Linked DNA regions of Elephas maximus indicus. The protein of the gene in region 1 interacts with the protein of each later gene in a pairwise test. Links are inferred from orthologs where the notes say so. Each region holds a gene or a part of one and is shown on either strand. Other genes may lie near its edges. The genes, in order: BAD and YWHAH.

Region 1 (14,459 bases):
GGAAGGGCTGGACCGGCGCAGCAGCCCACAGACACCGTCAGCCCCCGGGCCGGCGGGCGCAGGCGCCCACGAGCACCCGCGCAGGACACGCTCCACCGCCCGCGGGCACAAAGCCCCGCGCGCCCCCGCTCCGTCCTGTGGCTCCAGCGTGCGCCGCCGCCCCGCTGCTTGCACGCCCTCCACTTGCACACGCCCGCACTCTCCCGGACAACCCCAGACCCCATGCGGTGCGCGCTGCGCGGAGGCGCCCCGAGGTCCGCGCACACGTGTGCACACTCGCGCGCGCACACACACCAGACCGCGGGCCACCGCGCAGCACGCGCCGGCCCAGATACGCCGCACCGCTCTCTCTCGCCTCTCCGCGCGCCCACGCCCACGCCTCCAAGCGTGACGGGCAGCGTGGGACCACTCCCGACGGCGCCCCGCACGGTGGTGGGCGCCCCGCCCTGCCCCGCCCGCCTGACCCTCCGCACTCACTGTCTGCAACGCTGCGGCTGCTGCTGCGGCCCGGCTCCCGCACCGCCTCGCCGGTGCCGGCTGGGCCGCGGAGGCGGCGGCTGCAGGGGCGGAGCGGGCGGCCGCCGGGGCTGAGACCCCCTCCCGCTGCCGGGAGCCCCCCCCCCCGCTTAACCCCTCCTGCGCCGCGCCGTCCTCGGTGCCGCTCCCTCGCCGCCGGCGCTGCCCCAGCAGCCCTTTACCTGCGGCCGCCGGCCTTCCAATCCAGCCCTGCCTGGAGCGGCGGATCGCAGAAGAGTCGGAGAGGGCGCGCCGCTGGATCCAGCCTCGAGTCTCGGACTGGAGCCCTGGTGCTGTCCCGCCGGCCGGCTGGTCCCCGGTTGAACATCAGTGGGCCCACTTCTCCGGACCGGCGCCACGCTAGTCTCCGGGCCTCTCCAAGGCCCATTACTGGATCAGGATGGGCCCTTATCTCCCCGCCCCTGGGGACAGCTCGGTCTTTGGGCTCAGCACTCTGTTGAGGATGGCACCATAAGGGAGGGGGTCCCCGCGGGACCAAGGCTGGAGGATCCCTCAGAGGCCATCTGGGATTGGCTGGCGTGGGGGTTGGGACCCAGCTCTGGGAAGTCCCTGCTGCGGCACCCCCTGCACCTCCTCCTTGTCCCCCCCCCCACTTAGTGCTCAACTCTATGCCCAGGGGTCAGCCCCAGGGGTTTGGACCAGGAGCTGCCCCCCAGTCCCAACATGGACTAGTGCCAGCGCTCCCTCCCCCACTGCCTGCACAACCAGGGCCCCCTTCTGGTCCTGGAACGCTGCCCCTCCATGCTATCATCCCATCTCCAAAGACCCTCCTCTTTGGCTGCTTCCAGACCTCAGCCTTCTTGACGTGTTTCCAGCTCGGCTTTAGGGTTGACCAACCCCTCCCAGTAGGAAACCTGGACAGGTCACCTAATTCCAGAGCTTTTTCTTCCTCATCTACACAAGAGGGATGGTGAATGATCACCGAAGGTGCTGTTCTAAACATTAGAGGTTGGAGTGTGTAAATGCTCAAAACTGAGCCTGGCACACAATAAAGTAGCCTACAAATATTAGCTATGTCCTTTTCCACCACAAGTGGTTTTTGGTCAGTTGCCCTATCTGGCAGCCCTTTGGGCTTGATGCCAGGATAGTCCCAGGTGAAGGGTTGCCAGGGAAGCTTGGTGCTGGGCCCTAGGAGCTGGGGCAGTCAGGTATGTGGGCAGGAGAGAAACCCTCTAATAAAGGTTGCCAGCAGTGGGGCAGATCTATGTTAGGCTAACAGGCTGTGGGCACATGGGAAAAGAGGGCCTCAGGGGTGGGGGTGCCCTACCCACCAGGCGAAACTCACACCTTCCTAGAGGTGTAGGCTGCTCAGTCACCATGTCGACACCTCTGCAGGCCCTGGGCTAACCCCTGGCACCTGAAGGTCAGGTTGGGGGTGGTAACAGGGAAACAGGCTCCAAAATCCCAAATGATAGGGACCAAGAAGCATAATAATCACATAATCACAGGGATACAGGGCCCAGGAGAGGGGCCACTGTTCTGTGAGCAAGGGATGGAAAGCTTCATAAAGGAAGTGACATTTAGAACAGATCCTGATAAAAGAGTAGAAATTATTCAAGTGGGGAGGGGACTGCAGCATGAATGGGGTTTTTCTGGGCCGAGAGAGCTTTGAAAACAAAGGGCTGAATGGTCTCCCTTGCCCCTCCCTCAAACAGCAGGCTCCTCCTCACCCTGCCCACCCACCTCAGTAAGTGGCCCCAGCCCAGGCTAATGGCTGCCTTCAAGGACCAGTGTCTAATCAGCATGAGGTCAAGGCAGGAAGCTGACCAAAACGGTGGCGATGAGGGAGGAAGATGAAGCAGACAAATGAACACTGGGCACAGACACTGTTTATCGAGTGGCAGATGCAGGAGAGGTAGCTGGCTCTGGTGTGGAAGCAAAGATGGCAGGTCATGCCAGGGTGCTGTGGGCATCTGGCAGCCAGGGCCATGTCCCCCACCCTAGGGGGTGGCACAAGCTCACTACAACAGGAGCAGCCGAAGAGCCGGCCAGGGAAGGAGGCGGCTACAGCCCCTAGGATCCTGGGCAAGAAGCAGCAAATGAACTTGACTCAGGGGCCTGAGGGGGAGGGGAACTGGGGTCTGGGCATCCTAGAAGGGTGGGGGATCACGTCTGGGGGGTAGAGTAGAGGCTGTGGTGATGGCCGCCTGGTCCCGGCACCTGGGAGAAGAGCAGAGGAGTAGTCCGCGTCTGGCTGCCCCCGCACCAGCTCGGCTCCCGCCCGATGGAGCCGTACCAGCTGCCGGAGCCTAGGCTGCCTGACATGCTGTGGGTAGAGAAACCAGGTCAGTCCCAGGGCAGTGACCAGGACCACGTTCACAAGAGGTGGGAGAGGGAAAAAGGCTTAGAACAGAGCATGGTGGGAGGGGCTCCCCTCCCCAGACTCTGCCCAACTGCATCTTTGGGTGGAGTAGGGGGAGATGGGAAGGAGGGGGCCTCACCTCATACTGACAAGGAAACAAAAACCTTGGGGGAGGGCCATGGCTCAGGGGGCCTGAGGCAGGGTAGGGACTCCTACCTGGTGCTCTCACCCCGGCTGTGCTCCCAGGAACAGCCCTCATCTTCACAGTGCCCAGCCCGGTCGAAGAAGTAGGATCGGGAGCCAAAGACTTGCCCGTTGAGGATGCGGCTGGTGCTCTGGGGAGGGGAAAAAGCCACCATGGATGCCTTCTCTTGGCCCCCACCAAGCTCCCTTACCACCCCCCAGCCCAGCCCAAGGGTTCCCAGCATCCACCCTTCTCCACTGGGCCCGCAGAGGAAGGTGGAGGCACTCACCAGGTCCTGTGGGGGCCGGTGCACTCGGAAGAAGCCCACCAGCAGGGTGGTGGGCAACAGCTCCCACACAAAGAGGATGAGGCCAAATACCAAGTAGCCTTTGTTCCCCAGGTCATTCACCAGGTCCGCCTAGGGGAAGGCAGGGATTCACGCCAATCTGCGTTTGTGCCAATGGGGCACTGGGACAGGGACCAGGAGCCATGGCTATTAGGAGGCAGCAGACCTGCTGAACGCCCACCTGGTCAGAGACGTTGTACCAGTCATAATCGAAGGCGTCCAGCCGGCTCCGGGGGGCCAAGGCCAGGGCTGCCAAGTTGTAACAGGCCCGGCTGGCATAGAGCAGGACCATGGCACCACCCATTGCAGCTGCCTGGCACACACTGGTCCCCTGCCACAGATAACAACGGTGACCATCAGGAAGGAGTGGATTCCAGCCTCCTTTCTATCCTGAAGGCTGCTGTCCAACAAACATGGCTGCCCAGACACCCCAAAGGACACCCAGGCATTAGAGCCTGTGGCCCTACCTTGGCCTCCAGGTAGATGCTGGTGGAAGGGGCCCGCCGGGCCACAAGGCAGAGGCAGGCAGCAAGAGAGAGTGCGCAGATGACGAAGAGGGAGTCGCTCACCAGGATGCGCACCAGGAGTAGTGCCCAGGGCTGTGCCCGGCGCCGGCGGGATAGCACAGCACACAGCACGTTCACCAGCAGAAAGAGCAGCGAGGCCCCCACGAAGGCCCCTCGGACGGCCAGCCTGCAGCCCACAGCACAGTCAGCCCAGAAGGTTGAACTTGGTGCTCACCACTCACCTAACCTCCCAAAGGAGCCCCCAGAGCCGATCAGAACCACAGATCTTTCAACCTGAACCCTGCTCCTCTAGTTTTACAGATGGGAAACTGAGGTCCAAAGAAGTCAGGCGGTAGCTGACGGCTGTGATACAGTGGAAAGAGCCTGAGACTGGGAGTCAAAAATCTGGGTCTGAGTCCTGGCTTTGCCTCCTGCCAGCTCTGTGACCTTGAACATGTTCCTTTACCTTGCTGGACCTCAGTTCTTTCATCTTTCACATATGGATAATATCAGGTTAGTTATAAAGATTAACAGTGTTTGTAAAAGCTCTTTATAAAACTGTAAAACTTTATGTAAATAACAGCGGGACCATAGGCCCATGTCACCCAGGGTGCAGTTTGGTTTCGGAGCATCCTCTGTCATGGATGACATTGGTACCCTCACCCCTCGCAGTATCGCTACTGCTTCTATTATTGTTGTTTTTCACATACGCAACGCCTCTGCTAAGCCATCTGTGCCAGGTACTTTAACTTTTCCAATGGGAATGGCACAGGATCTGGCAGTGTTTCCTTCTGTTGTGCGTGGGGTCACCATAAGCGGGGGCCACCTAGACAGCAGTTAACAACAACAACAACCTCATTCACAAACATTCCCTGGGTTGCCCTTGCCTCAGCCCTTTGAGGTAGGAAAGGATGGACACTGGGCTGCTCCCTGCCCCTGGCCTGGAGGCAGAGCTCATCAGGGCCCCAAGTACTTACAAGCCTCTACTCATTTCCGGACGACGCTTTGCCTTGGCCTTGAACACCACCTGGGTGCAGAAATGCCCATCACTCATTATGGCCCTTGGCGCTTGACACCCCCCACCAGCCCCCATCCACTACCCACTACCACGGTTACCTGGGCAAAGTAGAGATTCATTAGCGTCAGCGTGAAGAACTGCAGGCAGACAGGGCAGCAGTAGAGAAGCCAAAAGGGCAGGGGCCCCAGGCGGTTGGCTCGAGGGGTGTCTCGGAAGTAGAAGGAGAAGAGGGTGGTACGCAGCGCAGCCCAGAGCAAACAGAGTGCCAGGAACACCGTCTGGTAGCTGAGCCGCTTGTGCCCGTACAGGAGCACCAGCCAGAGCTGGGCATAGACGGAGAAGAAGAGCAGGGCATACAGGGTGGTGTAGGCGGCGGTCAGCCCCAGGGTCACGGCGGGTGGCAGCGCAGGCACCAGCCCAGCAGCAGGCACCAGGCCAGACAGGTTACTCTCCATATCAGGGAGGGAGGCCTGAATCCCGGAGAAGACAGAGATGGACGGGCTGGCCAGTGCCCAGGGAAATAAATACGGAGGGGAGGGGACTGCGGGTGGGTGCTGAGACAGAGGTAGGGAGCTCAGGGGGCAAGGCGTTGTGGCTGGCCAGGTCCTTCCCCTCACCAGAGGGATTCTCGTCTTTGCGGGGCACAGGCAGCCTGGGCCCCGGCCCCGTCACTCAGGGGCGTGAAAGGACAGCCTCTCCTCTCCAGGGTAGATGGGGGTCTCCTCCCTGGGCCACCCCAGAGCCAGGTGGATAGGTGCAGAGGCTGTAGGAGAGGGATCCCCGGCCTTGTGCTGACTCGTGCCGGTGTCAGCAGGAGGGGGAGAGCCGGCGATGCGCGTCCGCTCAGGGTATCGGCCCCTGCAGGGGGCGCCCCAAAGCCCCGCTCTCCCCCTCCTCAGGCTAGGAGGGTTCTTTCCCCTCCAACAATCCGAATGGGGGCGCCTCTGCCTTCTCTCCTCGGGATTCCGCACGCTCCTCCACCCCACCCCCCACCGCGTCTCCTCTCCAGCCGCGGGGGGCTGGTGGAGACCGCCGTCTGGTCCTCAGACCGCCGCTGGGGGAGCCGGCTCCGGTCGCCGGGACCCGGGGCTCCGGCTCCCCGGCTCCCGCTGCTCCGCCCCCTTCTGCGCCTGCGCGGGCGCCGTTCGCTACGCAAATTGCGCAGGGGCAGACCTCGGCTCCGCAGCCCCGCGCCGCGCCCGGCGTGGGGCCGTTCGAGAATTGGCGCGAGGTGCGCCGTCAGCGGGCTCCAGGGGTTACGAGAGGCGGCGGGCGGCCTAGACGCCGGAGCCGCGCCCCATTCCACTAGCGCTCGGGTGGGCCGTGGCCTGGACCACTGGCCTTTGCTGGTTTGGGGCCCATCAGCTCCCATCCTTCTCCTCTCTATGCCCAAACCCGGATCGTGTCCCCGGCGGGGGGCGGCAACGATTTCTCGTCACCTCGCCTGTGAAGGGAACTTCCGCCCATAGCCAAGATGGCCTCCGGGTCTGCCTCCCTTCCCCCCCGACTCCGCGGGTCTTAAACCGCTGGACCCCGGAGCCCCCGCTGGGCAGCCAGCCCCAAGAACTGGCCCGCCGCGGTGATGCCCGCTCACCTGGCCGGCCGCCTGCATGCTGCCTGCCAGGGGCGAAACCGTCGCGAGTACTATGGGTCACCCTCACAGGGGTCCCTGCGCCTTCTCTGCGCCCCGGGCAGTCATCCGGCCAGGGTGGAGGCTCCCTCTCTTATCTCGGATGCTCCAGAGATGGCGCGGGGAGTGGTGCCCTGTTGCGGGCGGCATGGTTTCCACGGCGCGGTTCCCACGCTAGGGAAGAGGACGGAGTGGGACTTGCCGACCCCATCACCCCTCCAGAACCGTAACAACAGCAAGTCATTGCATCCGACTTCTGACTGTCAACTGCGACTTTGCAAAGTGCTTTCAGCCACAGTAATCACCACTCTGTTTACAAAGTTTTCACTGGCTCCGGAGGGAGGTGTCATTATCCCCATTTTACAGGGGTGGAAACTAAGCCCCGGAGGGGCTGAAGGGCTTATCAGCAGAAACGAGTCTCCAGGCTCCAAATGGAGGCCCCCAGAGAATCCCTCACCGGCTTCCACACACGCCCAAGGCGTGAGGATGTCGGGAGCTGAACATCCGGAGAAGAAGAAGGGACGCAGGAGATCATCGGGCGGGCTGCAGGTTGGGCGGTGGGGCGGGGCCGGTATAGAGTGGGCCCGCCTCCTGTCCAGCCCGAGTGACATTTCACGAGTTGATTGGGCCAGGCCGGTGACAGTTCCCGTTGCCCAAGCAACTAGGGCAGGGCGCCCTCAGTACTGGAGGGAGACGGCAGGCCCGGGTCAGGGGCCTCGAGATCGGGCTTGGGGTGAGACCTGTGTGCGGTCATCCCAGGAGAGACGGCCTGGGTGGGGGTCTGGGGCTGCCCTACAGCACCAGTGCTCCAAGGGAAGATTTAGGTCCCAGCTGGACAGGCTGAGCACCCGGCAGAGCCAGACTGGGCAGACAGATGAGTCTGGGAGGCAGGCGGGCTCTAGGGGCAGAGAGTGAGCCAGGGACGTCTCTGCTGTACCCCCACAGGTTCCCGTTTGCTCCGGCTGTGCCCTAACCACCCACCATCTTGCCCCCACAGCCCAGAGTATGTTCCAGATCCCAGAGTTTGAGCAGAGTGACCGGGAAGACTCCACCCCTGCAGACAGGGCCCTGGGCCCCAGCCCCGAAGGGTACTGGCCTTCAGGCCCCAGCGACCGCCACCGTGTGGCCCCAGGCTTCCTGCGGGACGCCAGTCACCAGCAGGGGCAGCCGACCAGCAGCGGCCACCTTGGAGGTAGGAACCCCCTAATATCACCTCCTGCCCAGTAGCTCTCTGCACCCCAGCCACATACATGCTTACTGGCTGGCTTTGGGTGAGTCTATAACCTCTCTAAGCTTCAGGTTCCTTTTCTGTAAATAAAGCAATGAATCACATCACTATTGTAGGGTTTTCGGGGCAATTAGTAGCAATATATAGGAAGCACTTTGTCATAGTGTTGGCACATCGGAGATGCTCCAAAAAACGTAGCTGTTGTTGTAGGGCCAGGACAGAAATCACTGAGGAGCAGGCAGAGAGCAAGAAAGGGGAAGTGACTTGACTAAGGTCATGCTTGAGGTACCTTTGGTAGGAGGCAGGGGTGGAAGGCTCCTTGGTGGCCTGTCCAGGCTACATCCTGCCGTAGGCTACCTGCTTACCCTAGGACTGAGCTATTTTTGCACAGTTGCTGGGGCAGGTTACCTGAAGTGGCAGACAGTCCTCCCAGGCAGTGGCCATGTAGGGGGTGGTGTGGGAAGTTGCTGGAAAGAGCTGTCTACTCTCCAGCACAGGCTATTGGTTGCCCTTCCCACCTACTCAGGCCCAGCCCGGATGGAAGGACGTTGGCGGGCAGTGGCCATTTGTCTATAGTCTTCACGTGCCTGGTGCCTGGGACGGGCCTTGGCACCTGAGACAGTTACAGAGACCTTCTGAAAACACACACCAGACCATGTCGCTTACCCACCGAAGCTTATATAACTCCCATTTTCTTCAGGAACAGGAAGGCCTGGGTGGCCTCCCCTCCCTCTTTCCTGCACACTCTGTCCTGTCAGGCTGAATTGCAGAGGATCCTCAAGCAGCTTTTTCTGCTCTCAGCTGTTTCCACACCCAACCTGGCTCTTCCTACCCCTCCTTTGGGCTCCCTCATCGTTCTCTTCCTCCACTTATTGAGTACTTAGTAGGAGACCCTGGGTGGTGCAAACGGTTAAGCACTTGACTACTAGCTGAAAGGTTGGTGATTCGAACCCACCCAGAGGCACTGAAAAGACCCGCCTGGCCGTCTGCTTCTGAAAGATCGCAGCCTTAAAACCCTACGGAGCAGTTCTACTCCGACATACATGGGTTCACCATGAGTGGGAATCAACTGGAAGGCGAATAACAACACGTACCCACCCCTCCTTGGGACCCCCTCAGTGTTCTCTTCCTCCTTTTATCAGGTCCCACGTGTTGTCCCCGTTTCTAGGGGCACATCAGTGACTAAAAACCCGTTGCCATCAACTCGATTCTGATTCTTAGCGACCCTACAGGACAAAATAGAACTGCCCCACAGGGTTTCCAAGACTGTAAATCTTTACAGAAGCAAACTGCCACATCTTTCTCCCTTGGAGTGGCTGGTGGGTTCGAACTGCCAACCTTTTGGTTAGCAGCCCAGTCCTTAACCACTGCGCCACCAGGACTCCTTCATCAGTGACCACAGAGATGAAAATTTTGCCCTTGTGGAGCTTACATTCTAGTGGGGTTGGAGAGACAGGCCATAAACAAACAAGCAGACAGGGAAATGCTATAATGTCTGGGAAGATAATGTGTGCTTGGGAGAGGGGCGTGTATGCAAACAGAGTCAGGTGAGTCCTGAGGACTGGCCATGGGATTTTAACTGAGATGCCAGGGTCAGGGTCAGCCTTGGTAAGAAGCAACATTTGAGCAAAACCTTGAAGGGGATATGGGTGAGCCACACAAGTGTCTGTGGGAAGAGAGTACCAGGCAGAGGGAATAGCATATGCAAAGTCCCGTAGGCAAGTCGTGGTCCAGGCTAGTGAGGCCGGAGAGGAGAAAGAAGGTACAGGGGAGAATAGTTGAGATGCCATCAGAGTTAATGAGGGGGACAGGTGGCCTGGGCAGGGCCTCGAAGGCCATTGTAAGGGCTGTGGCGTATACTCTGAAAAGAAACAGTAGAGAGCTGAGAGCAGAGGGGACTTGGTCAGGTTTGCTGAGTGCCTGGGGCCACAATGTTGAGACTGGTCTGTAATGGGCAAAGCAGAAGCGGAGGCCAGAGGGGAGGCTGTTGCGGGACGCCAGTCACCAGCAGAGGCAGCCGACCAGCAGCGGCCACCTTGGAGGTAGGAACCCCCTAAGATCACCGCCTGCCCAGTAGCTCTCTGCACCCCAGCCACATACATGCTTACTGGCTGGCTTTGGGTGAGTCTATAACCTCTCTGAGCCTCAGGTTTCTCTTCTGTAAATAAAGCAAGAGAAGATGGTGACTTGGGCCAGGGAGGTGGCAGTGGAGGTGGTGAGAAGGAGCTGGATTGATTGTGAAGGTGGGGCTGTCAGGACTTGCTGAGAGACGAATAGAAAGAGCTGAGTCAAGGAGGTCTCCAAGGAGCTTCACCTGCGCAACCAGAAGGATGGATGGAGTTTCCTTTAACCAAGACGGAGCCTTGGGGTGGGGGGCAGATAGGGAGCCCATTTTGGGCCATGTGAGGTTAGAGGTGCCCGTTAGTCCTCCAAGTGGGGGTTTCCAGCGGAGGAAAGGCCCTGGCAGCATTTATAAATGAAGAGTGGTCGGCCTTTCAGTGTACGTAGGCCCAGGAACCTGGAGGCGAGCATCTGGAGAGGACGGAGGGCTGGGCTGCGTTCTAGCCTTAAGTGCAAGAGGAGGAGAAACCACAAGGGAGACTGAGAAGGAGCGGGCAGTGAGGTGGACAGGAAACCAAGAGAGGGGTGTGCGCCAGCCACTGCATGGTGGTGAATGCCGGGTGGGCGATGAACTGAGTGGGACGCTTGGGGCGGGGGTCGGCCCACTCCTCAGTAAGGGCTGAGAGTTGGCGATGGAGGCCACACCTGGGGCCATTTGATGGGGGAGGGGCTCTGACAGCTGTGGGTAGAAATCCTGGGAAGAGAAGAACTGCAGACGGGAGAACCCACTCTTGACAGCTGTGCTCCCACAAAGAGCAGCAGAGGATGGGGTGGCAGCTGAAGGCAGGACAGTCAAGAGAGGGTTGGTTTTTAAGATCCAAGAAGAAGATACCAGGTTTCTAGGCTACTGGGACCCATCCAGGGGAGAGGGGTCCACTCCACGGTGCAGGGGTGTTGCAGGACAGTGGGCCGGCATGGCACCTGAGGAGGGGGCTGGTGAGGCAACTTCTCTGTTAGAGGCAGGAGGCAGCAGCTCTGGGAGGGGCAGAGTGGATGTAGATGCAGCCTGGGAACTGGGAGAAGTTTCTCTTCCATGTAAGGAAGCCCGGAGTGGGGATAGGGAGGAGGGGTGGGGCTGTGGGGAGATAGGAGCAGGTTTGAAACTTGGGAGCAGTGGTGGGCAATGTGGAGGGTGCAACTGGGCTTTGTGGCCGAGAATTTAAAGTGAGAGCAGGCGGCGTGGCTGCGCTCTCAGTGGGAACTTGCAGGGGAGCGGAGTTAAAAAGGCTGTTTGTCCCAGCAAGGGGTTGAGGGTGTGTGCAAGGAAGGGACAAGAACTGGCTGACCATAGCGGGCAAGCCCCTGGGGAGTCACAGCAGCGGTGTCGTTGGAGCCAAGCACCAGAGGGGGAGAACTGGACAGGTAGGTGGCGGTCAGTGGGCTGCTGTTATTGGCAGTGATGATGTTACAGGGCAGGGCTTCCCAGCTCCCAGCTCGGGACTAAGCCCTGCTTAGGTTCTTACCTTCTTCTGACCACAAATGGCCAGGAGAGGCTCAGAGGTTCCACACGAACAAAAGTTTGCTAGGGACAGGGTAGAAGGCTCGCGAGGGAGAGAGGGAGAGGGCTTTCCACCTATGCTAGCTTCCAGTCTCTCACTGGACAGAGGATTCCCTAGGGCTTATAAAATTTTGTGGAGGGGGGGATGGGAGGAATGCATTATCTTTATTTGTTAGATGGGTGGAGATTTCGATGAGAAGGAGAGGGATTATGAAAATCAAATGGGTGCTCAGTTAGAATTCAAAATGGACTTCCTCACAGAGGTTGCTGGAACCAAGATGGAGTCTGTCACAAAGGCTGCCGGGAGGTCAAACAGGACTTATTCTGGGATGTTGTGCATGCGTGATGCCTCTGGATCTTGGTTTGAGCCCCGGCGAGGGGTCCCTGTTCATGTTTGTCTCACGTGGAAGGTCACTTATAGTCCATGTTGATCTTTACTGCGCGTGCTCTGCAGCTGGTGATGCCTTGAAAAACAACTCGGGAGGATTATCAGTAATTGATAGCTGGTCAAGCACACAGGGCCTTGAAATGTAGCCCCTTATCTTGTCTAAGCACCTAGTTTGTTAATCACAAGTAGTTTTCGGGTGCCAGGAGCAAAAGTTGTACGGTGGTCTGCACTTAGGTTTAGATTCAGAGACTAATTATAGCTGGTCAAGCACACAGGGCCTTGAAATGTAGCCTTTATTTCATTCAGCCAGCCCAATCTCTTCTCAGTGAGGTCTGGGTTATACCCATGGGGATGAGAGTCTGGGGGCCAAGATGATGGGGGAAGGAGGGCACAAGGCTAGGAGGTGGGAAGAATTGCTTACGGGTACATTGAAACACCTGTGGATCAATAAGGACCAGCGGAGTGATGCAGAAAGTGGGAGTGACATTGGGCAGAAAGGTGGGCTGTGACCTGCAGGTGGAGGACACGGGGGGCATGGAGGGGAAGGGGTGACACAGACGGAGAACCATCTGAAATAGCAATGAAGGGCCAGGGGACTTCCCCAGCTCCAGACCTAGCCTACGGACAGCTGCGGGGGAGAAAACTGCCACCATCTCAGAGGGCTACACAGGATGCTTTTGATGTACTTTTCAATGTCTTAGTGATTTCCCATAAAAAATCCCATAAGTGCCAATGACCTGCCAGAGCCATGTGGTCACTGCCCCCTCTCAGCTCACACTTGGTGGTATCTCTTCACATTTCCTGTCTGGCCTCTGTGCCCCAAGGGCAGTGACTGGACCGCCTTGTGCGCTTTTATAACTCTAGTGCACAGCCCAGTGCCTGAAATGGGCTGGGTGCGTGGCAAGCCCCTGTGGGTGCATGGGTGGCGAAGGGAAGTGTTGTGTCGGATTTTAGAAACCTTAGAAAATTAATACTCAGGTTTGCCACGCATAAACTCCAGTTTAGTTTACTGCAAGGTAGTTAGGGGAAGGCATGCAAGTAAGACATCACAGCATTCATTGGGACAGAAGAATTAGAATTAACAGGTACGATTGTTCAACGGTTAGAGTCCAGTCTTTAGACTTCAGGCTTTTACCTTTAACAAGAGGTCTTGGGAAGAAGGTTTAACCGCGGCTCAAACTCAGCCGAGGTCCCTCATAGCTTGGGTACAAGGTCAGCAGCTACGGTGGACAGAATCTCGGTACCATCTCTGCCTTCTCTCAGTAAGTGAAGAGAAATTTATGGTTTTTATGTGAATTTGTCACCTTGGGTCCACACGAAGCAAGGGCCAGTGTGACATCAAAGAGTAGTATTGTTATGACACATATCTTGCATAGCCTCTTCAAGGTTAGAGGTTAGAGGTGGTTTACATTTATGATTCAATTCTAGTTTATTCTAGCTATGTCTTTTTTTATCACAGCACCTCAGGTCAAAGTGAACTTAAAGGTTGTTTATGTTCTTTACACACTTCACATGCTTCTGTGTTTCCAAGTCTAAGTTCAGAAATTTTCTAAATAACTTTTATGACTGCCACGTTAAGTAATGACTTACAGTTAATGTTAGAGAGTCTCACAAAGAATACATATTTCTATTTTTAAGTTCATATTTTGAGTGCTTATACATGTGTTTTGAAAGCATAATAGTGACTTCAACCTTATGGGATTTGAGATCATCGTAGAAACATACAGAACAGGAAGGAAGGAAGAACACGCAGTGGGAGAAGCAGCCTGGTATCCGACTCTGGGCCAAACTGTCGGAGTTCAACCTCGGCTCTACCCTTTATTAGCCAGCTGAGCTTGAACAGGTTAGTTAACTCGCTCTGCCTCAGTTTTCTTATCTGTAAAATCTGGAATAGAACTAGACCCACCTCATTGGGTTGTGGAGAGGATCTGATGAATTAATACAGGAAAAGTGCTTAGAGTAGTGCCTGACACAGAGGAATTGCTTACTCTGAGTGTTTGCTATTCTTATTAACCAAGACCAGTTGCTGTCGAATATTTTTTTTTTAATTGCGCTTTAGGTAGGTGAAAGTTTACTCAGCAAATTAGTTTTCCGGCTCGATAGTTTGTATGTAAGGTGCTCCATGACGTTGGTTGCATTCCCCGCAATGTGTCAGCACTCTCCCCATTTCCTCCCTGGGTTCCTCATTTCTGTTAGTCCAGATTTTCTACCCCTTCCTGCCTTCTCATCTCTGCCTTTGGGCAAATGTTGTCCTTTTGATCTTGTATAATTGATTGTTCTAAGGAACTTGTTCCTCTCCAGTGTTACTGTTTATTTTTGGGGCCTATTTATTGTTTGGCTGAAAGGTGGTCTCCAGGAATGGCTTTAGTTCCAGGTCAGAAGGGTGTCTTAGGGCCATAGTCCCGGGAGTTCCTCCAGCCTCTGTTGGACCAGTAAGTCCGGTCTTTTTGGTGAGTTTTATTTTTTGTTCTACATTTTTCTCCTGCGCTGTTTGGGATCCTCTGTTGTGATCCCAGTGAGAGTGGTGGTCAGTAGTGGTAGCTGGGCACTACCTAGTTCCTTTGGTCTCAGGGTCCTGTAGGCTATAGTTCATGTGGTCCATTAGTCCATTGAGTTAATGACTCATGGCAACCCCATGTGTGTCAGAGTAGAGCTGTGCTCCATAGGGCTGATTTTTCAGGAATAGTCACCAGGCCTTTCT
Region 2 (14,684 bases), on another chromosome or scaffold:
AGACAATGAATGTCTGTTCTTTAAAGCCACCCACTTTGTGGTGCTTGTTACTACAGCCTAGAAAACTAAGACACCATTACTTGCTGAACTTTCAATGGTGAAACGCCCTAGACTATCAGAGCTGCCACATGCCAGTATGGGCTGCCATTTTATTTTGGCAAAATTTGCATAACAAAATTCACCATTTTAACAATTTCAAAGTGCACAATCTGATGTGGCATTTAGTATATTCACAGTGCCCTGCAACCATCATCTAGCTCCAGGATATTTTTATCACCATTCTTTCCGCTGCTGCCCCCATTAGCAGTCGCTCCCTAGTTCTCTCTCCGCCCCTGGCAGCCACCAATCTGCTTTCTGTGTCTATGGATCTGCCTATTCTGAATGTCTCATATAAATGGAATCATCCAGACCTTTTGTGTCTGACTTCTTTCACCGAGCATAATGTTTTCAAGGTACACTCGCATCGTAGCCTGTATCAATACTTGACTGATTCCTTTTGATGGCTGAGTGAGATTTGATTGTATGGATATACCACATTTTGTTTATCCGTTTATCACCTGGTAGACATCTGGGTTGTTTCCACTTTTTGGCTATTGTGAGTAATGCTACTATTTGTTTAAATTGCTTGGTCATATGGTTACTCTATGTTTAACTTATTGAGGAACTGCCAAACTGTTTTCTGCAGCTTCCCATTTTACAGATAAGAAATCCAAGGCTCAGAGCGCAGAAGTAATGAGTCCAAGGGCCCTCAGCTATGGTTACAAGCAGAGGCGAGTACATGCAGGTAGGGGGGATCAAGGGACTCTCTAATCCTGACCCCCAGTTTTTCCAGACCGCAGCAGCCCCTCCTTGCCTAGGCCCACCCAGAGGGAACCAAGCAGAAGCTTGAGGCAATTATCCAGATGGTTTAAGCCAAAGGATCTAGAAATTTCTGGCCAAGAAGCACAAGTTACCCAGCCAGCTACAGAACTGAAGCAAAAGCCTTTTCCTCTCTCATTTTAACTGTGATTTCATAAGTGACAGCTTTGTCTTTCCCCCAGAGCCAGGCTCCTCTGAACATGCTTTAGGGGGGCGGGTGGTGAGAATGGGGCTCTGAGCTCCACCAGCTCACAGATTGCAGCTCCCAGGACATTTTCACACTTCTTAATGCCAAAAGCTGCCTTAAGAGCCAATCTGCTCCCCAAGTGCGCTTTGGAAGAGTGGTGGAAGGCTCTGGGTCAATCCAGAAATCTGTGTGCTCAGGCTGATCTTAGACACAGGGGTGGAATTTGATATCAGCAAAAGGACCCAGGGCCAAGGCGAAGGAGCAGAAAATGGCGTGAGCTGGAGGAGGCCCTGTGACTGCCTCGACCATAGAGCAAGAATCTGGCCTCTCTTGGCTTAGCTTCCCCATCCATAAAATGGGGATAACCAACCACCCCCCAGGGTTGGAGGATTTAGTGAGATAATATATGTAAGTGATTAATAAATAAGAGCTGCAGTTAGCATTATCATATTGGCTTCGGATCAGCAAGGTCACGCTGGCAGCAGGCGGCCTGCGTTTGGAAAAAAACACGAAAAGTTAAAATCCTATCTGGGTGACACAGATCTGTGGGCAGGTGACCCCTCCTGCTCAAGATGGTAACCATGCCAACAGTGTAAATACCATCTCCTTGGAACAAAAGGGTCCTCTCTGTAATATGCTCCTTGTTGTCCAGGCTCCTCAAGGAGTTCAGAGCAGCCCAGAGTATTGAAGAAAAAGAAAAACAGACGTGCCTTTTCTGGGTCACCTATTCTCTGGGCTCCAGCTGAGGGTTCTGGCAATGCTTTAGAAATCTAGTCGAGTGCAAGGAGCATCATCACTGGCTTACAGAGTGGTACACAGCCAGGAATTACCATGTGCTGCTCAGGCAGACATAGTACAGACATGCTCTTGCTGATTCTTACAAGCACCCTAGGAAGCAAGTGTGGCTAGACCCATTTTCTGGGGAGAAAACATAATCACAGAGGACAAGTGCCTTGCCTAAGGTTACTCTGGTAAGTGGCAGAGCAGCTCTAGAACCAGATTCTTTTCCCCCATCACACCACACACAGTTCTCAGGAAGCCAGGGGGGTGGGGTCTGTTCCTTGAGTGATACACTATGCCAGGTGAAGATGCAAACCTGGACCCTGCTATGGGACCTGCTCTGGCCCCCTAAGGAAGGAACACATTATGTTTAACATTAACCATTGGCCTCCTTCACTTCGCTCAGGAGCTCTCTTTGGAGTTGTTCCAAGGAGATAATTGTTGATCAAAACTTGCCGGTAGCTTCTGTTGGGTCGGCCTCTGACTCATAGCAACCCTGTGCACAATGGAACAAAATGCTACGTCCTGCGCCACCCCCATATAGACCGCAGATCAGACTGTTGTGATCCATAGGGTTTTCAGTGGGTGATTTTCAGAAGTAGATGACCAGCCTTTCTTCCTAGTCTATGTTAATCTGGAAGGTCCACTGAAACCTGTTCAGCATCATAGCAATATGTAAGCCTCACTGACAGACAGGTGATGGCTGTGCACGAGGTGCACTGGCTGGGAATGAAACCTGGTATCCTGCTTGGAAGGCGAGAGTCCTGGGAACGCGTGCCCTGTCCAAGGTGGTTGTTGTAATCTTTGTTTGTGAGGTTTTGAGGAGTTGGCAGGTCCCTGGGCGGCAAAAACAGTTTGCACTAGACTACTAACCTGAATGTTGGGCAGTTCAAATACACCCAGTGGTGCCACAAAAGAAAGGCCTGGCGATCTGCTTCTGGAAAGATTACAGCCAAGAAAACCTGATGGAGCAGTTCTACTCTGTAACACATGGGGTCGCCGTGAGTTCGAATCAACTTGATGGCAATAGGATTGGGTTTTTTTTTTTTTTTTTTGGTGCGCGGTAGTTGGTAGCTCTCTCTCCGGCGCAAAAGGAGATGGATGCTGGTAAGTGTACAGGCTAAAAGGTTGGAAGTTGTGTGTGCGTTTCACAATGTGAATGACTTTGAAAAAGGAGTCACGTCTGAGCTTGTCTCAGCGAAGACCAGGGCAGCATGGGGCCATCAGGCTTGAGAGTCTGAATCTGGGGGCCCGAGTTTGAATTGTAGGTCTGCTGATGACCAGTTGTATGACTTCGTTCAAGTCACGGAACATCTCTGTGCCCATTCCCTCACCTGTAAAACAGAAATGGAAATTGTACCTACCTTACAAAATTTTTTTTTTTTTTTACAGGGGGAGCCTGAGGAAAAACTATGACCATCCGTGGTGCTTGCAACATGGTAGATGTCTCCTTCCTCCCAACAGTGAGGGTGGACAAGGTCATACAGGAGGGGGCAGAGTGAGAAGATGGCCTGGGACAGAGCCCTGAGGAACCCTGCATTTCAGGGTAGGCCTAGAAGACGAGTCCACACACAAGACGAAAGGCGTGGCCAGAGGAATGGAGGGGAAACCAGAGTGTAGGGTCATGAAGTCAAGTGGAGAGTTTTAAGGAGGGGTGGCAGGGGCAGATTACCCAATAAGCAAGATAGGCACAAGCTTAGCCATGCTGATTTACTAATATACAGTGCACAATTTCACCTGGTAACTGGCAAGACAGGTGAAATTGTTCACTTCAGATTAGTAGGTAAACACAATTAAGCCGTGCTACCTTGCTTACTGTATACGGTGCATACAGTGCCCTGGTTAATCCACCCCTGGGTGAGAGCTGTGTCCAAGAGGACCAGGAGGTGAAGAGTACCCAGTGTCCTTGTATTTGGCAACAAGAAGGCCACACATGGCCTCGAAGAGGGCCATCTAGCTGGAGGAGTGGGGACAGAGCCAGAGCACAGTGGGCTGAGCAGCGGGTGGCAGGTGAGGAAGTGGAGAAAGGGAAGTTTGGTGAGCAGCAAAGAAAGGCTTCCTGGAAGAACTCATCATTTATGAACCTAGCCAAAATCAATTTAGAATGCTCCAGCTCTGTATTTCACTGTTTTGGATTCAATCTCAGCCCAACATGATCAGAAAAGCAAAGCCTCTAGGACTAGAAGTAGTTGTGGGGGTCCCCCCAACCAGCCCTGGACCCTTCTCCACCTCCCACTGGAACCCCATCCTTGTGGGGGTGGAGGAGAGGATTAATTATTATCTAGCATTTTGTTTAGCATGCTCTTTAAAGATATTCACTAGGGGGAGGATCAGCCTGGTTTGTTAACCTTGATTCCATTTCTAGTCAGCAAAGGTGATTCTACGAAGCGCAGTTAAGCCTAGATGGGGCGTCCTGGACCCACAGCGAAATCCTGTTCCATGGGTGCCGATGTCCTCATTTTAGTATTCCAAAGGGGAGAAGAAGGTCCGGGAGGCAGGAAACCAGGTATGTGCAAATGGGGATGGCCGCTCCTCTCCCTAAGTCCTCAGTTTCCCTTTATGCAAGAAAAAAGGATAGATAGGTTTTTTTTCCTTAAGGGCCCTGCTTGCTCTGACATTCCAGGGTGCAGATTTCTATTCCAGTCCTTTCAATAGTCCAAGTCCAGTTTTCCAGATGGCAAAGCTGAGGTCCAGAAGACACCCAATCTTCAGGCCCTGCCTTTTCACCCCTCTAATATGTATCTTACTCTCCAGAGCCAGACTCATGTCCTGAACTATGACTTTCACCACCTCCAAAAAAAAAAAAAAACCAAACCAAACCTACTGCTTTAGAGTTGATTCCGACTCATGGAAACCCCTCGTGTTACAGAGTAGAACTGCTCCATAAGGTTTTCTTGGCTGTAATCCTTATGAAAGCAGATCACCAGGCCTTTCTTCCGTGGCACCAAAACAAAACAAACCCATTGCCACTAAGTGGATTCCGACTCATAGCGACCCCACAGGACAGAGTAGAACTGCCCCATACGGTTTCCAAGAAGCGCCTGATGGATTCAAACTGCAGACGTTTTGGTTAGCAGGCCAACTTTTTTTTTTTTTTTTATTGTGCTTTAAGTGAAAGTTTACAAATCAAGTCAGTTTCTCACACAAAAACTTATATACACCTTGCTACATACTCCCAATTACTCTCCCCCTAATGAGACAGCCTGCTCTCTCCCTCCACTCTTTTCGTGTCCATTTCGCCAGCTTCTAACCCCCTCTACCCTCCAGGCAGGACATGCCAACATAGTCTCAAGTGTCCACCTGATCCAAGAAGCTCACTCCTCGCCAGCATCCCTCTCCAACCCATTGTCCAGTCCAATACATGTCTGAAGAGTTGGCTTCGGAAATGGTTCCTCTCCTGGGCCAACAGAAGGCCTGGGGGCCATGACCACCGGGGTCCTTCCAGTATCAGACCATTAAGTATGGTCTTTTAATGAGAATTTGGGGTCTGCATCCCATTCCTCTCCTGCTCCCTCAGGGGTTCTCTGTTGTGTTCCCTGTCAGGGCAGTCATCTGTTGCAGCTGGGCACCATCTAGTTCTTCTGGTCTCAAGATGATGTAGCCTCTGGTTCATGTGGTCCTTTCTGTCTCTTGGGCTCGTAATTACCTTGTGTCCTTGGTGTTCTTCATTCTCCTTCGATCCAGGTGGGTTGAGACCAGTTGATGCATCTTAGATGGCTGCTTGCTAGAGTTTAAGACCCAGATGAGCAGGCAAACTCTTAACCACTACATCAACAGGGTTTCCTCTGTGGCACCACTGGGTGGATTTGAACTTTCAGTCTTTAGGTCAGTAGTGGAGCACCAACCATTTGCACCACCCAGGGATCTTTCACCACCTCAAAACCAAAACATATTGCTGTGGAGTTGATTCCAACTCATACTCATCCTATAGGATAGAGCTGAGCTGCCCCATGGGGTTTCCAAGACTGTCATCTTTACAGGAACAGACTGCCACATCTTTCTCTCATAGAGGGGCTGGTGGGTTCAAACCTTTTGGTTAGCAGCCCGGCTCTTAACCACTGCACCTAAGAATAAAACCTCAAATACTCAGTCTGGCATTTAAAATACTCAGTAATCTCGCCCCACCTAACCTCATCTCCCACTGCCAGGTCTCACTTCTCACCCTCAAATTCTGTTCCTATCTTCACTGCGAAGCCTTTGTCCAGGCTACATCCCACTCCCTAATAATACATTTTTCCTGACTCATTTTCTTCAAGTCCAGCTTACCTGTTCTTGAGTATTTAGACCTCAGCTTCTCAGGGGCAAGGGCTGAATCTTAACTCAGTAGCTTCCTATCCTCACTGCTGAACATGCAGTAGGTGCTCAATAAAATTCTCAAGAGAGTCCACCGCCCCCTCTCCTGGCTAGAGTCGGCAACTTGTAAGTTGGGGCGGTGTTTAGTCCTAGTGATTTTCTTAGCTTGGCTAGCGCCCAGGCAGGGCGTGAGGGACCTTCAGCCCTCAATTGCCAGGGCTGGGAGGGGCTTACTGACTAGCCTGCCAATCCGCCGCCCTCTTCCCCTGCAAGGAGTCCAGGCTGAATTTGAACCCAGATCCTGACCCCGCCACTTAACAGGCTGTGTAACCCTCAGCAAGTCACTAGTCTCACTCTGCTTCAGGTTCCACATTTGGAAGGTGGGAACACCAGCTGGCTCACTCTCGAGCTGGGTTGTGGTGATCAACTAGAATGCCGGTACAGGCCCAGCACTGGGCGGGCTCCTAGGAAGTGTGCTGTGACTGTCCTCTTGTGGAAGGCACTGCCTGCAGCCCAGGGAAGTGTGGACCTGATCCTGCCAGGCCAGTGCAAACCAGACTGCAGGGTGTGGCCCGCGAAGCCGCTGGCCAGGCTGGGCTCCGGTCAGGCGGGACGCAGGGGCCGGCCGGCCCGGCCCGCCCTGGGCCCATGGCCTCCAGCTTCTCCACGCAGTGGCTTTCCCTTCTGGATTCTTCTCAAGTCAGACAGCTAATGCGGCTTCAGCGGCGCTTTTCCGGATGGGGCTGCGACATCCCGCTGCCTGTGCAGCCACCATCACCGCGCCCCTCCCTGGGCTCCGCAGCGTTCCAGCGCCGCTCTCGACTCCCACCTCCACCTCTGCGGCAGTAAAATGCAGCACTCGCAGAGCGCCTGCGCGGCTCCGGGGCGGGGCGGCGGCGGCGGCTATTTATAGTAGGTGACGTCACCTTGAAATAGACCGTTAGAGCCGGCCCGCCTTCCCCCATCTCCACTCCCGCCTCTCCGCGCCACCCCTCCGGGCAGCTCCCACTGCGCAGGCGTCCTTCCGCCCCCCCACCTCAACGCACCGCCTCTCTCCCTTGGCGGCGTCCGCGGCGGAGCCACAACGCGCAGGGCGAGCCAGTGAGCGGAGGAAAGCGGTGCTGCCTGCAGCCTCGGGCCGGCCGGACCCAGTGCGCGTGCGCAGCGGCTTCCGCGGCGACCAGCAGCAGCGGGCGAGAGAGCGAGCGGGCTAAGGCGCGACGACATGGGGGACCGGGAGCAGCTGCTGCAGCGGGCGCGGCTGGCCGAGCAGGCGGAGCGCTACGACGACATGGCCTCCGCCATGAAGGCGGTGAGCGCGGCAGGGGCCCGGGCGGCCGGCGGAGGCCCAGCAAGGGAAGGAATGGGCGGCCGGCAGGGTCTGCCCTAGGACCTGGGCGCCCCCGCAGGGCGCGGCCGCCCGCCCGCCCGCAGCCTGCGCTTCCCGCGCACGCCGGGCGCCCCGCCATTTCCTGCGGCCGGCCCCAGAGTGGGATCTGTGGGCAGGGAGCCGCTCACGGTCGCCAGTGCTGCCCCACGGGGACGGGCGGCGGAACCCTCTTTGGGGGCGGTGGGTGGGGTGTCGCCGCATCCCAGCTAGGAGCCCTGGGGAAGGGCAGGGGGTGCCCGAGGGAACGTGAGGGAGCCACGTTCCTCCTTCCAGATCGTTGTTTCGGCACCTGGGGGCCCAGCCCCTCTCACCGTCCCCCACCCCACCTTGTAGAACCCTCGAGCGCGTGGAGCCGTGTCTGCTGCTTTTCTCTGCGAGACCTGCAGTCGGGGTATTCCGATCTGCCTGGCTCTGCTCGCCCGAGTTGTTCTCGTTCCACCTTCCCACGCTCGACTCGGGCTTTGTGTGCGGAGACCCCTTCCTCCAGCCGCGGCGGAGGGCGGGCCGGGGCCCATTCTGGCTGTGGCCCGGGTTCGATGCGGCGCCCATCTGCCTGGACATTAAAATGAGCGTGATTTCTAGATAAGACGAACCTGTGTGCCTTTCCTTTCCCGAGACCCTCGTAGATTGAGTCTGCAGCTTCACCGTCTGCAGCTTCATTTCCGGTGAAGGAGTCGTGCCAGCCACACCCTAGCAAACGCTGTGGATTAGACACGACCTGCGTTTCTGAGATTTAGAGTTCCGCTTGTTTTCTCCTATCCCTGTCTTCTCACAGTATTTTACATTTTGTCTAAACGAACATTACTTCTCTCTGCCTCAAGGTCATGCGGTGGTGGACCTACAACTGGAGCCACCAACCTGTGTTTCTTCGTCCAGTGTACAACCTCCTTAGACCTGGAAGGGTCCCCTTGGCCCCACCTTAGTCCTAAAGATTCAGAAATTCAAGGGAGTGGGATTTAAAATCTGCATTTTAACCAGTTCCTCTGGCCAGTTTTTAGTGAATTTAAATGTGAGAGTTAATGCCGTGGATTATAGCTCATTTGCTCTTTGCCCTTTCACTGGCCTTGTGAAGGGATTTATTAAAGAAAAACTCAAACCCAGAGGTTCCCTGAAATTTCAGATTCTTTTGAAATGCTCATTTAAAAAAGGCTTTTGGTATTAACATATAATATGTGGTTGAGGCCAATTTTTAGGATTATCCAGGTAAAAAAGGTGCTTGAAGACATTTCCTGTGGTGGTCTTATTATACATTTAACTAATTGTGTTTGGAAAGCAACTACAGGCCCCTTTGTGCATTCATTGGTGATCTTGACTTGAGCACTGTAGTGTGTGGTTGTCAGATAGGAGCTTTTCATCCAAACCAGGGCAGGATCTTAGTTTGGGGTCTGAAGTTTATGTAATTTTGGGGATCCTCTTTAAGAAAACACAAGTATAAAAATATATTAACGTTGCAAATTTTACAGAAACAGGACTGATTGTGTGAACACGTTTCCTTGGAAGGGGCCCTGAATCGTTGTTTTCTCTGGAATAAAATCACCTCTGTGCATACAGCAAGTCACACCTTAAGTGAGCCTGTTCTCCCCTGGTACTGGAGTGGTACTGGGATCATGCAGGCTGAGGCCTTTCTATAGCACATTTTTGTGAGGTATTTTGCTCACCAAGGCTGCAGTCTGAGGAGGCCTTTGAGGAATAAGGATGCTGAAAGTAGGGCTAGGGTGTGAAGGAAGGTGAATTGAAGTTGAGAAAAAATGGCTAGAGGATACATTCTGGAGCTAAAGGAAATGCGAGGCAACTTGAATGGGAAGTAAGAAGAGAGAGAATGGGAAGGGATTACCAGAATGAAATTTGGGCAGAGAAAAAAAAAAATTGGCTTTCTGGTCTTCATAAACAGGCTTAGAAAATACTATCCTGCAGCTAGCTACTTCATCCACAGATTTTTCTCTGAGGCTTTAAAATAGCATTTTACAAGCTACTGTACCCTTCATTTTGCTGGAAATCTCTAATATCTATATCTGAAATGATTGGTGGGTCGGGCAAAGCAGCAGCATTGACCGTTCATTCCAAGTTTTAATTATATTATCTCAAAATTGTGATAAACCATTTTCTCAAGGAAATTCCTAGTTAAAAATATGAACTTTTTTGTCTGTTTCATTTATTTAAAACATTTTTATTTCTCATCTAAATTAATGGGATGTATTTGTTGGAAAGAACTTGGCAGGGGTCAGTGGGAAAGAGTTTATGTTTTACCTATTAAGTTGGCATTTGTAGATTGAATTCTTCATAAATGTTTTTGGGAAGGTACAGCCCCTGTTTTATTAACATTATAGGCCTTAAATAGAGCTTTTGGAAAGAATTTGAATTCTAGTAACCCTCTGGGCTTATGGGATTTTCTTCAGGATGGTGGATGGGCACATAGACTGCTGGGGAGGGGGTGATGTTCAGGCACCACCACTCTGCAAGGTCGAACCTTAACATCTTTGGCCTCAGTTTCTCTTAAAGCGTAAAAGTAGGAATGTTGGTGTTACTAACAAGTCAGCCTCCAGCCCCAGTCTTCTAACTTGTTTTCTATTTTCTTTGTAATTTAAGTGGTCGCCTACTAATAATGCCTGCTTGTAATGACTGATGTCCCTTATGCTTGCCAGTGTCACCTGGAGGAGGATATCATAAGCTTTAAGAAAAATCATGCATATTGGAAACAACGGTGTTACCTCAAATTGAGAACTTAAATGTCCTGCCTCACCCCATAATTTGAAGAGGCAAGAAATGTTTCTGAACTGAAGTAAAGGAATATCTTCAAGCTCTTCTCATCTCTCTAGTACTTTTATCATAGACATAGAAGTAATAGTGGGATGAAACATGGAAGATTCTAGAACCCGAGTACTTTTTAGGCGAGGCTTTGAATAACCATACACAATTCATAACCTCTGCAAAACTGATATAATAACATCTTATGAGAGCTGAAATAAAACTATAAAGTCAGATAGAAATATAGCTTGTAAGACTAAGGAAAGAAGGTAAATAACCAGGTAACTTTCTGGTAAATATTCATGGATGGAAATAATTCAGTCATATCTCTTATTGTTCTAAACTTTCTATTTTATATTAAAACTAATATAGATGGTAATTTTGTAGCTATGAAACATTATTTGAGAAAGCGTGGTATATTTTAACATGATACGGGTTAATTATATAAAGGACAGGGAGAAATATGGCTGAAAGACTTCAGGGATACCTGTAGAAATCTTAAGTGCAGGAAACAAAGCTGCAGCATAAGAAAACAGCAGTCAGAGAGGAAGAGGCACTTGGCCCAACTGGTGGCCCAAGGCTCTTATTCCAACAGCTGTGAGATTATTGGAATGAGCAGGTGGTATGTAAAAGGAGAGCTCGTGCTGGGCAGCCCAGGATGAGACGTGCTGCAGATAAAAAAACCAAGGGTGGTTTCGAGGTGCACCAAAATTGTGGTTAAAGCAGTGTTGCCACTAGAATTTGAAATACGTAGAAGCTAGTGAGCCCTGTTTCCCGTTAACTGGTCACTTGAAATGTAATTATCACTGTCATGTATCTGTGAGGATTCTGGCTTCTTGTAAGAGAATATTGCGTCTGAATGTTGGCTGCTAACTGAAAGGTTAGTGCTTTGGGTCCACCCACCAGGTCCCTGGGTGGTACAAACGATTAATGTGCTCGACTGCTAACTGAAAGGTTAGTGGATTGAGTCCACCCAGAGATGCCTTGGAAGAAAAGCCCAGGGGTCTGAAAAATCAGCCATTGAAAACCGTACGGAGCGCGGTTCTACTCTGACACACTGGGTTGCCAGGAGCTGGAATTGGCTGGATGGCAACTAGGAGTAAAGGCAGCAGACAGTTCACATAGCTTTGCTGTGCTGAAGTGGGGAGTGTGGGTTGGAGGTTCCTGAATTAGCCCCAAAAGAGCTCCACGGTCAGGGACCCCACCACACCTCTTTAAAGAAACCAAAAATGTGTTTCTCCTTTGGGATTTTACATTAGTGGTAAACTGCAGTGTCGTACTTTTCCAGAGATATGGTCTGGAAAGGGGGTATCCCCAATGTGTTTTCCATATTACAATTCACCAAGTTTATGGAATTTTCTTTATCGTTTTACTTACTAACCCACTGCCGTGGAGCCAATTCCGACTCATAGCGACCCTAAAGGACGGAGTAGAACTGCCCCATAAAGTTTCCAAGGGAGTGCCTGGTGGATTCAAACTGCCGACCTCTTGGTTAGCAGCCGTAGCACTTAACCATTACGCCACCAGTACTCGGTAAATGGTAGCAATTATTCCTTACGTATACAACTCCATATGGACACTGTTGTTAACTCCATGTTGTAAATGAGGATTAAAGAGATTAACTAACTTTCTCATAAACAGCTAATAAGTTGTGAAGCCAAGATTTAAACTCTTGAATTTAGAGTGCTCCATGAGGCTAAGGAATAATATTTCTAGTGTACATTCTGGTGTTTTTGCCATTGTTGTAATTGGTGGCCAAATTCTGAAAAGCGAGCTTATTAAATATTAAACTTAAATAATTTCATCAATTGGGTGTAAGTGATTTTTTGCCAAGGTCGATTAAAAACAGAATTTTCCACTTTTAGCTAGAGCAGAGAGGCATAAAAGACAAACTCACAAATCTGGCTTTTGCTTGTTCTCCTGAAGGCCGGAAGTTTTTTTTTTTAATTGCTTAAAAAGCAAAGTATTGAATTTGAGTCCCTGCTACGGACTCAGGAATGTAGGATTGCTAAATTATACTTGTGGTATTTTGAGAAATCCTTTAATATCTGTCTTGTCACCAGTTCTTCCATATTAGTGTATTTTATAAGCCTGTAGGGCCCCCACATTTCAATCTCCAGGTTGTTGGTAAATTCCTCCTGTGTCCCAGCTGAGGCAGCCTGTCTCCCCAGCGTTGTGCTCCTCCCAGTCCTTGCTGCGGTGTGGCATTTCCTTCTTTGGTGGTGGGTGTTGGCACTTCTCTGATAGGAACCTGGCACAGCTTCTGAGGACTTCAGCCCTGGTGCCTCCGGAACAGTAGCATGCAGTAATGCCATTCAGATGGCGTTGCATTTGATCCCTGTCAATCCGTACGAAAATGTCCAATTATGTCAAAAACAGGACAAAGACGTGAGAAAAGTTGTAGAACAACAACAAAAAATCAAATTCACAAAAAAGACCAGACTTACTGGTCTTAAAGATACTGTAGGAACCCCTTGAGACTGTGGGCCTAAGACACCCCTCTGAACTGGATCTGAAGCTGGTCCTGGAGTCCACCTTTCAGCCGAACTATGGACAGGTCAATAAAATAACACCTGAGAGGAACACGCTCCTTAGAACAACCAATTATATGAGAATGAAAGGGTGACATTTGCACAAAAGCAAAGATGAGAAGTCAGGAAGGGATAGAAAATCAGGACAAAAGGAAACGGACCTAGGATGGAAATGGGAAGAGTGCTGACGCATTGTGGGGAATGAAGCCAGTGTTACCGAACGCTGTATGTCAAACTTATCAAGTGGGAAGCTTAATTTGCTTTGTAAACTTTCATCTTTAATGCACAATAAAAACAAACAGGACAAAGGAAGTCTCCACTAACTTTAAGCTTAGGGTTGATGTTAATTCAGGGCTTTGAACTGGTTGGTTCTGGTTCTAACCCCTGCTGAGAATTTGCAGTTCTAATAAGTTCACAGAGGATGCTGATACTGCTGGTTAGGCACTACTAGTAGAGCAGTGGTTCTCAGAATTTATTACACATAAGAATCACCTGGGGATCTTGTTAATAACTAGATTCTGCTTCAGTACGTCTGGGGTAGAAATGCAGATTCTCAGCAGGGGTCGAACCAGAAGAAACCGGTTTGAAGCCCTGTATTAATTAAGCTTGTCCTGTCTGGTGGCCTCATAGAACTGCAGCCTTGCCATAGTGTGGGTAGGGGACTCAGCCAAGCCCTGGCTTGGGAATGTTCCTTGCACAGTGGCCAGGAGAGAGTGGTTTTGCCAGGCCTGGGCAAGTGATGACTGATGGCAGGTGCTTTGCCAGCTTGGGACCAGGTAGGATCCTCACTTTCAGGGCATTGAAGTTTGAGGAAGAGCTTTTGTTCTTTCTAGCTCCCTTTTTATATCTCAGGGTTCTGCAAAGAAGTTTGGAAGGTTTTATGATGTGGTTATGTTTACATAATTGTTCATGAGAATCGTTTTCATCTGTTACAAACTCATCAGAAGGAGGCTCCTTGGTAGTGTGTGTGGGTATGAGTATAAAGGGATGGGATGGGACTGCTTGTAAGTGTGTGTGTGAGGGGGAGTGTAGGTGCAGGTGTGGCTATGAAGGATGGGAGCAGCGGTCGGGAGAAGTTAACATTGACCTCCACTTTGACAGTAGGGCCTGGCAGCTCAGGGGTGGCGTTTTTTGTTCAGTGTTATTTGTGGTGTTGGATGTCTCCCAGATTAAGAGTTTTAACTTTTCCCGAGTAGTTCCTGTGCTATTTTTGGCAGTGGGTCTATTTTTACTCACAAACACATAGTTTATTGCCTTGTGCGTAGTGGGAGGAGGCCACAGAGGGGTTTTTGAGTAAGGGAGTGGTGTTTTAGGAAGATAAGGGAATTAATAACAAGCCAGGTTCTTAGGCTTTGTGGGTAGTTCCAGAGCAGAGAAAATGGGTGAAGCAGGTCCCCTGGGGTTGGAAGTTGGCGCAACTGAAGGGTGTGTGGTGAGGACACTGGTAAAATGACTGGCAGAGTCCAGTGGTCCCTAAAGGAAGTGAAGTGGAGGGCCTTTATCATATGGAAAGAGTTTGAGCAAGTTTAAGTGGGGTGGAAAGGTGAGCAGGAGAGGGAAAATGTAGAGACGCTGTGGGCGGAGGTGGGCGTGTAGCCACGTGAAGACTTGGTGTCCTGGAGTGGGTGTGCTGAGGGCAACTGATGTGTGGTGGAAGTGTGTTGTAACTGGTGTTGGAGTGGAAGGAAGGTTGAGAGCCATTGTTCTTTTATCTCAAATATTGTGTCTGCTTCATGTTCTTAATTAGAAGCTGTTTTGGAAATTCAAGTTTGTAAAGATACAATAAATCTCATCTCCATAGAATCTGCACGTGATGACCCAGTGTGGCTGGGACTAAAAAAAAAAAAAACCAAACCCTTTGCCGTTGAGTAGATTCTGACTCATAGCCGGTAGTGCTGTC

Evidence for each region.
Region 2: the proteins of BAD (region 1) and YWHAH interact in binary tests that used the Homo sapiens proteins (3 or more experiments, as listed by UniProt). The link is inferred for Elephas maximus indicus from reciprocal best matches to the Homo sapiens genes BAD and YWHAH.

What each region holds. Positions count from the first base shown.
Region 1 is NC_064825.1:127,461,232-127,475,690, reverse strand, and holds the start of BAD (bcl2-associated agonist of cell death), read left to right. Parts: upstream 1-7,058; 5' UTR 7,059-7,072; intron 7,073-7,165; exon of another isoform or gene 7,166-7,256; intron 7,257-7,520; 5' UTR 7,521-7,528; coding exon 7,529-7,715; intron 7,716-14,459. Other genes in the region: integral membrane protein GPR137, read right to left, coding at 2,644-2,803, 3,056-3,174, 3,313-3,441, 3,551-3,700, 3,837-4,062, 4,853-4,902, 4,992-5,363, 6,981-7,058. UniProt on the Homo sapiens protein: Promotes cell death. Successfully competes for the binding to Bcl-X(L), Bcl-2 and Bcl-W, thereby affecting the level of heterodimerization of these proteins with BAX. Can reverse the death repressor activity of Bcl-X(L), but not that of Bcl-2.
Region 2 is NC_064840.1:24,246,307-24,260,990, reverse strand, and holds the start of YWHAH (14-3-3 protein eta), read left to right. Parts: upstream 1-7,115; 5' UTR 7,116-7,343; coding exon 7,344-7,430; intron 7,431-14,684. UniProt on the Homo sapiens protein: Adapter protein implicated in the regulation of a large spectrum of both general and specialized signaling pathways. Binds to a large number of partners, usually by recognition of a phosphoserine or phosphothreonine motif.